Linked DNA regions of Daphnia pulex. The main gene of each other region encodes a partner of the protein of the gene in region 2 in a complex. Links are inferred from orthologs where the notes say so. Each region holds a gene or a part of one and is shown on either strand. Other genes may lie near its edges.

Region 1 (3,681 bases), on a different chromosome or scaffold from region 2:
AAAGGCAAAGTAGGCCTAATGCGATGCGAACGTTTCTTTTCCCGAATATCTAGTAAAATCGCGTAGAGAAAAAAATATTATAGCCTATTATTGCAGCATTTGAGTTGTAATATGCTTTTGTAGTACAGGGGACTTACTTACTGTTCCTGTCCCTCATGGTATAGGACCATGCTGTCTCTTTCCAGATTTCTAAAAAAGCGTCCTACACTACATAGTGAGGGTTTTGAACCCACACTTTATTAGTGGCGGGTTGCTTATTACCTTTGCACGATTATTTCCCTTCCAACTTGAATTTTCTACATTAACCTAAACCGCTACTCCCTTCGACTTGCCACTAGCCTAGAACTCCCTCACTAAATTTCATCTCTTTGTTTCATGCTGCTCTTTTCTTTATAAAATCAAGTGAAATTGCGCACCAACATATCAGGTTATTTCAATTACAAACTAGAAACAAAACAACTCCGCCGACCAACCTAACTCGGACCCATGAGAAAATGTGTTTCAAGTATACACCAAATTAGTATTTTTTTTTTTATCGGGATAAGAAATCAGGTCACATTTAATTTTAAAAAACTAAAAATTTTGTGATCGAACCAAGTCTTTGTTTCATTTAACTGTACGTCAATTAATAAACTTTAAAACGAACATTTCAGGCAAGTCCGAAACGTTCAGCACGTTTGCGCTTCTGTTCGTCAGAACTGCCGACCGCAGTGCTCGTAGTTCCGAATCTCTCTGCTCGCTTCTGTTTCTTCTCATCAACTTCGGAATTAGAATTAGAAACGACGCCAAAGCGAGCTTGCCTTTTCAGAAGTTTGTCATTATCAGGAACCTTAAATAAAAATTCACTACATGAAAACACGAAGAACGATGAGCTGATCAATCGAAAATACCTGAGGTTTTGATGTGTTTGATTCTGTGCTATTTGTACCGCCAAATCTTTCTGCTCGAACAGCTTTCTTCACAGAATCGGGAATAGGAACACCAAATTTCTGTGCTCTTAGTTTGGCTCTTTCTTCGGCAGATAAGGAACCAAGTTTAATCACCTTCTTTTCTTCCTTTGAGTCAGATTCATCACCTTTATTGGCATCATATTTAAGGTGGTCGTCATTTTCCTGTGAAACTGTGCCAGAATCTGATGGAGGAGTTACCACCTTTCTGTTCAAGATGATTTTTTTATGGGGAGAAACTATTTCATTCTTCGAGTCCTGAACAGTCCTGAAATATTATTCATTTCATCATTAATCTTGAGGCAATTATTTTCCAAACAAACAGAGTAACTAACTTTTCAACTGTAACTTTGGGGGCACTCAATGCAGTAGGTGTTAAAAGAACTGCATCATCTTCTTGGGCGATCAAATTTGCATTTCCTTCCTCTAAAATAGCTTCTTCATCCTATACCAAAAATAAAATTGCATAAGTTTATCACATTGTATAAAACCAATGTTCTTACTGCTAAAACTGCCTCCTCATCCAAAAGGTCATCATTGTCTAAGGCGCCATTATCTCCAGTATCGTCATCTTAACATCCACGGAAAAAAGCTTGAACATAAACATGGAAACAGTTTAATAATCAAAATGATAAAAGTTTACCTTGCACAGCATCTTGCAGTCTTTCCATCAATTCATTTTTAGTGCCAATGGTGCTGAGGCCTCGTGTTTTTAACTCTTTTTTAAGGTCCACAACCTAGCATGAAAACAACAGTCAAGATGAAATGCACACAGTAGGCCTATCACTAGTTCAAAAACATAATAGACATTTGATTTGACAAACTCAATCAGGATTCTAAGTTGGAAATATTGACAAGTTTCACTCAAATATAAAGTTAAGCGGGTTACTTTTAATTTAGAGATGTCCATGATTGTGATGATAATGATGACGTTTGTCTGTACCGGCGTCTCAAACTTTCAATGAATTACAATTGGAACGCGCAACGCGGTAACTTGAAAGTAATTCGACTTTTGAATGCCAGTGTATTGTTTCAGAGGAGAAATTGCGTATGCTTTTGCTGGCTTCTAAACTAGTGATCTCTATCGGGCGCATCCTGTACTAAAGTAGTGTCACCTATCGTCAATGCAAAAAGTTTGTCCGAGTCATGTTGCCATGTTAGTGTGTTACTAGCCAACAATGAGAAAGAAAACCCTCGAAAAAGTAATCAGCCACGTAGGATAACTCTGGTAGGATTTTGAAAAAAAATAGTGAGAAATTAATTTTAAGCGATGGGTTTCTCGGACAAAAAGGCTACGCATAAAACATTGCAACTACGTTATTTCTGTAATCGCAAATGATCAAACTCATTGTCAAAGTAATTTTTTTTTTTTAATTTAAAGAGCTTGATAAAAACTTCATAAAATATCTTGTGATAAACCAAGTAAAACTGATTGGCTTAACTAACTAGTGTGTGTATTGTAAATCAATGATTTTAAATTTCATCGTAACATCGTAGTGAATTTTGAATTTTTGATTCTTTTCCCGCTCAAAGAACAAGAAAGTGACAAAAAGTAACGTGTTTTAAGACAAGCAAACAGTTCAAGCTGCAATAGTTATATAATGAATGAGACAAATGCTCAAGCCGTGTATTTCGCTTTGACATGAAAATACGTGCGCGCAAAAAGCACTTTCACGACGACGCTCAGCTTCGGACAGTAGGCAATGTTTACGTAGCGAGCGACACATCTCAAAGGAAGAAAAAAACAATGGTCTTTTCGCGTCTTTTTCTTTCTTTTTTAACAAAAAAAAACAAAAAAACAAAAACAAACAACCAATTCGCAGAAACGTGGCTATATTCCGGCAAGGAGTAAAAGGTGGGTAAAAGGAGAACACCAATTGCTGTGGCAATATCCAACTTGTGCGAGGCAATCGATTTCTGTTTTTCTTTTTTCAAGGCACGCACAACTTAACTATATATATCATTTACTGCTGAGGACAATTATGGTTTTACACGTTTCCAATAAGGGATTGGGGGGGGGGGGTTAAACGGCACGACGGTAGTCGATTTGTCTGGTCCCGGGATACTGTTGTAATAAAGGATATACAGTGATGCCCAATGATTTTCTTATGTTTTTTCACTATTCTTGGGACCCAATTTTTAAGCCCATTCTGAAATGGCGTCAAATTTTCTCTTTTTAGCTTATCGGGAATTGTTTTTGTTTTTTCCCCGATAAATACACGTTACACGCAACACTACAGCGATCATCATTCATCAACTTGTAAGCGATTGGTATACAAGCACTTGAAAATACATACACGAATATATCAAATCAGAGAGGCGCGCGTGGCGGCCTATTTCTTTTTGGCAATTAATAATAACGAAACAAAACAGAGGAGAAAAAAAAGACACGTATTTTCAAAATAGATCTTTCGAGACGTTTACGTTTGAACTGATGAGAACTAGACAAAATAGATATTCCAGTTTTTTTTGTTTTGTTTTTTGTTTTTTTAAGACACCGGGCATTTTTGTTTGTTTACGTGTGTGTTTGACAATTTACGATTTATATAGAGTGAGCCTGGTCTACGTATCATGATGGCACAGATCAACCTGTTTTTTTTCTCGATTCACATTCAATTAAAAAAAAGGATCACAACTTTCCGCAAAGTCGAACATATCATTTTAGCTACAATCAGGCACATTCATTTGGCGAAAAAAAAAAACAAGGGAAATAATAATCGATTACTGAATTTTT
Region 2 (4,603 bases):
AAGAATCCAGATCCTGTGTCATATTTTGTTGGATATGCTCTATCATGGCCTTTTATCAATTGGGGAATCATTTTCTCGGCTGCAAATTCTGGTTTAGACTGCGACTGCCAACTTCCGCCTCCTTTCTTCATTAACTGACCATCGATTTCTGTAATCAAATCCAAATGCAGGCTCAATTTCTTCAATTGCACTGTCAGCAGATCAACTTTGTGCTGAGGAGGAAGTTCAGTACTGGGAACGTTAACCTCCGCTTCGATTCTCTATTTTTAAAAATTACGTAAAATATCACAAAACCGAAGACGAAAAGTTTTAGCTATAATACATACGCGTATAATTTCACTATTTTCTCTATTGTGCTTTCCATTCCAGTTAAGTTCAAGTGAACAAATTGGTGTAGAGTTCGGGTAGTCTACAGGAACCATGAACATCGCGAGTAGTTTTGCTGGAATTCAAATACAAAAAAGGTTCCAATAATAATTAAATTCATCATACAGGATCCTTAACAGAAATTAAATTTTAAAATATTTTACAACTATACCGGATTCTCTTTCAAGAGTTGCTTTGTAAAACGAAAGGCTTTTTGGATTTACTTCAAGGAAGTTCAACAGCCGTTCAAGGTTCTTTGACGTTACGAGGCATTCTTCATACGTAGAAGACGTCCATGAGACGAGTCGAGAATAGATTGTTGGTGGAAAAGTAGCATTTGAGTCTTGATTGAGATCAAGTTCACCCTTTTCTGTTTAATGTTAAAGAAACTATGCATATTTTAAAACTGTTTTATAACAAGTATGAAATAAGACTCACCAAGTAAGTGTAAAACCTTAACAAACTGGAAACGATAAGTAATCCTACTTTTTAGGGCAAGAATAACCTAAATACAAGTAAACACGGTTATTCTTGTTTTACTATGTTATTGTTGTTTAAAAAATTATAGAGACCGTTTCAACGAATTCCGTGTTGATGAAAGATTGAGGTGTCGATTTTACGATGCCGTTGAAATCTAACCCAGCTAAACGTTGGGCCCAAAGGTAAGGTTTTCCTTGTTCAGTTATTTTACCGTTGATCATAGACCTTGCTTGAAAACAATTGACCCAACTGGGCGATTCATCCCCATGGTCGTTTGGAAAAAGTCCGGAAAGGAGATTATCGATCATACAAATCTGACTAGTAAGAGAAAGACTTTTTTAAAAGACATTTCGACATATAGAAAGAAAGCAATAATATAATCTTACTTTACTCCATCGTCTTGCTGAACGGGCTTGCAGTCGACCGTGACGATATTTAATGTTGTTAAATACGTGAAGTTAAGGACAACGCGTTCAATCTTAAGTTGAATACGTAAAGGATGCCTAGTCAATTGCCAATCTGTTTTCATTTTATTTGAAGTCGCGGAGCGTTTGTTTGTTTCATATTCCGTCTCCATGTCAGATTCCGCTGAATCAACATCCTCGAGAATTTCGTCCAAACCAGTTTTATTCTTTGACCCAAAATTAATAGCATCTTCCATTCCACCTTCGATAGAAATTTGCAATGACGGATCTGCGGGTTAAAGTCATATTTATCGTAACGATTAAGAAAACTTACGAATTTAATAAAATTACCGCATGCTTCAATGAACGCTTTTATCTGACTGTACAAAATGTAAAGTGGATCCGGTAATAACACAGCCAACTCTTTCTGAAACTTGATTCGCTCTACAGGCAAATTAAGCTCTTCTTGTAAGGGTCGCGTGGACTTTCGAAACATAAATATTAAAATCAAATTCTTTTAGATTTTGTATCACTTAATTACCTCAAGTATGGAAGTAAGTCTGGGTAACAGGCTTTCAAGTTGTTTTTGTTTCTGACTGATTTCACTGGATGCCTTTTCTCGATTTTGTTCCAGACTACGGCACTGTTCCGAAAGACGTTTCCGTTGTTCAAATTCCCATTCCAACCGAGCCAAAGTCAATTTGTGTTGATTACTTTTGGTCAATTCCTAAATGTAAAGAAAACAAAATAAGAATACTTTTTGGTAGTGGTTGGTAAACAATAGGTAGATTTTCATACCATTTTAGAAATGCTACTTGGGGCCTCCTGATAAAACTCCTCAACAGGAACAAGTTCAATGTCCTCATCTTTAGACTTGAACTCCAAACACTTGTCCACTTCTTTCTTCAGATGAAAGACTTCATACAGCAGATTTTCTAGTTGTAAATGAAATGTATCCACACGCTGCTTGGCATCATGGGTTGTATCCCTTGCCTTTTTCAATCTAAGCTTGTCTATTCGATTTAACTTCTTCAATGTTACAAACAAAAGAGAAGCTTCTATTCTTTTTTCAATGATCTTTTTACTGGTTTCTTCATCGGTTTTTCCAGATGTTTTCAATTGTAAAATGTCTGTCATCAATCTTTTTAATTCACAACATGTTTCTTTGAATATTTTCAAGTCACTTTCCCCTGTCCGGGATTCAACTTCCTTGTCTTCAATGTCCATGAAATTCTAGAAAATCATGCAAATGAAAAGTTAAATTCAGCACTATATCATTTACCCAATAAAAAATCTAACCAAAGTTAAGAGAATTAAGTAACAAGTACCTTGCAAAATTCCTTCACTTTACTTGCTGCTGCCATAGATGAAACATCATTTTTGCTTTTTTTGGGATCTTGTTTAATAGATTCGGAGTCACTTCTTTTAGTTTTGGAAGGTTTAGACATTGTTAATACCGCTTCCAAGCTTGTTCCGTTTACCAGTTTACTATGTTAAATAAGTCTTGTCTACGTCTACTATATGCAAGGCCGACAAAACTGTATAACGTGTTGAATCTTTTTATTCTTAAACGGGTACACGTAGCGGTAATTTTAAGAACTAGTTCCGTTAAAATTAAAATTTTCTTTTAGCTTTATCAGGCTTTATCAAAGAAAATAGGAAAATAGCCCGAGTCCTGGAACCTTGCTTTAAATAAATTGAAATTTTAAACAATACTCTTAATCTTGAAAGGACTGCGCATTGTATCAATGATTTAGAAAGAGGACCTAACCGTTTAACATTACCTTTACATGAGTAAGGGAGTTTCCCGATAGCTTAAAAATATTCAACCACCAACATTTCATTTCTCTAACCATGAGTTGAGATATAGACATCACTAATTATCTCAAAGGGATCGTCAAGTATGCAATTTTCCTGTTATACATTTTATCCTTCCCATTTAAGGATTAATAATTGGTATTCAAGCAAAATGACACCTTATACCTATAAATCATGTTAAAACTACTGTGGGTTATGTTTGTGAATATTTTAAAAAGGTTTCAAACTTTTGCCTTTCTTATGTCTGACTTTTACGAAAGTTTTCCACCAAATAAGCTGTAAGAACTGAGGCAATTCGACGTACGTCTGACACATTATAGACAGGATAATCTTGTATTTTTGCCGTTTTTGGTTGAAATACAAAATACAATCCCGAGAACGGTTTACTTCTTCTTGCCACCCTTGGCAGCCTTGGCTTTGGCGGCTTTAGCCTTTGCCTCCTTGGCTGCTTCAGGATCTTCAGCCGCTTCCTTAGCTCGCTTAGCTCGGATACCTGCAAGGCGTGCTGTTGTTCGGGCCGTGCGGAGTACAGCATAAGGAGAGAATTTGCGATCGGCCGGAGTGATGGCGCGAGCCTTCTCCAATTTGTAAGACCTGGTGATGGGCATAACCTCAGTAGTCAACTGTTGGGCCAACTTGATTTCCTCAGGCTGAAATAAAACATAATGTTATTGTAAAGTGGTGGTACACAATCCTTGTCACAATTCTTACAGTAGCATCAGTCTTCTGGGGTTTCTTGGCATTGCGTGGGAAGAGGATCAACTTGCTCTTGTAGACCTTCAAGCGAGTGGCGTTCAACTGCAATGATTCCACAGACTTGTTACGACGACGGTGGTCAACAGCAATACCAATTGTTGGGGCGAAACGCTTAGGGATCTTGGCAGCCTAAAACAAAAAATTCAAATAAAAATGATCACATTAATATATAAAACTTTGGAGCATATGGCATAATAAAACATTTGCTACACTAAACCAAATGGATTATTTAACTCTTCGACAATGAAACCAGAGCAATTTGCAGTTTGATTTGAGTCGTGTCTGTCATAATTTCCACAATTCAAAACATGATACATTAATAGTAAATATGTTACCCTCAATTCCTCCAAACTGAATCCTTTTCCAGCACGAACACGAGTGTTGTACCGGAAAGTCGGGCACCTGACGATGGGCTTCAATGAAGTCGTTGGACGAGGAAACACACGACGAGCCTTGGCTACACGGTGTGCGTGCCTCCTCTGCTTGCGAGCTGGCTGTAAAGATGAAACACTACTGTAAAGCACACATTCAACACACATATTAAAAGAAATGTACCTGATTAAACCAAGTCTTGACATAACGCTGCCACTGTTTGTGGAAATGTCCATTCGGAATCATGTTGTTCCTTTTGGGCGCCATGGTGAAACTACAAAAGTAAAATTTCGATGGTGAGTTTTACAGATTCCACTAAAAAAGACTTGCTAAATCGTGATTTCTATAAATTTGGGATAGTCAAATGTATAATTTTAAGGATGGATTCAGATATAGCTTACTAACGT

Evidence for each region.
Region 1: THO complex subunit 5 homolog (region 2) and SAP domain-containing ribonucleoprotein-like share a complex: the UniProt entries of both Homo sapiens proteins name them as parts of the transcription/export (TREX) complex. The link is inferred for Daphnia pulex from reciprocal best matches to the Homo sapiens genes THOC5 and SARNP.

The regions. Positions count from the first base shown.
Region 1 is NC_060024.1:915,549-919,229, forward strand, and holds SAP domain-containing ribonucleoprotein-like, read right to left. Parts: upstream 1,995-3,681; 5' UTR 1,858-1,994; coding exon 1,837-1,857; intron 1,685-1,836; coding exon 1,591-1,684; intron 1,519-1,590; coding exon 1,451-1,518; intron 1,393-1,450; coding exon 1,283-1,392; intron 1,216-1,282; coding exon 891-1,215; intron 830-890; coding exon 650-829; 3' UTR 542-649; downstream 1-541. UniProt on the Homo sapiens protein: Binds both single-stranded and double-stranded DNA with higher affinity for the single-stranded form. Specifically binds to scaffold/matrix attachment region DNA. Also binds single-stranded RNA. Enhances RNA unwinding activity of DDX39A.
Region 2 is NC_060020.1:6,248,449-6,253,051, forward strand, and holds the start of THO complex subunit 5 homolog, read right to left. Parts: upstream 3,022-4,603; 5' UTR 2,699-3,021; coding exon 2,579-2,698; intron 2,484-2,578; coding exon 2,049-2,483; intron 1,978-2,048; coding exon 1,792-1,977; intron 1,735-1,791; coding exon 1,602-1,734; intron 1,540-1,601; coding exon 1,233-1,539; intron 1,165-1,232; coding exon 939-1,164; intron 872-938; coding exon 805-871; intron 737-804; coding exon 539-736; intron 443-538; coding exon 327-442; intron 261-326; coding exon 1-260. Other genes in the region: 60S ribosomal protein L13-like, read right to left, coding at 3,452-3,718, 3,780-3,953, 4,160-4,318, 4,380-4,463. UniProt on the Homo sapiens protein: Component of the THO subcomplex of the TREX complex which is thought to couple mRNA transcription, processing and nuclear export, and which specifically associates with spliced mRNA and not with unspliced pre-mRNA.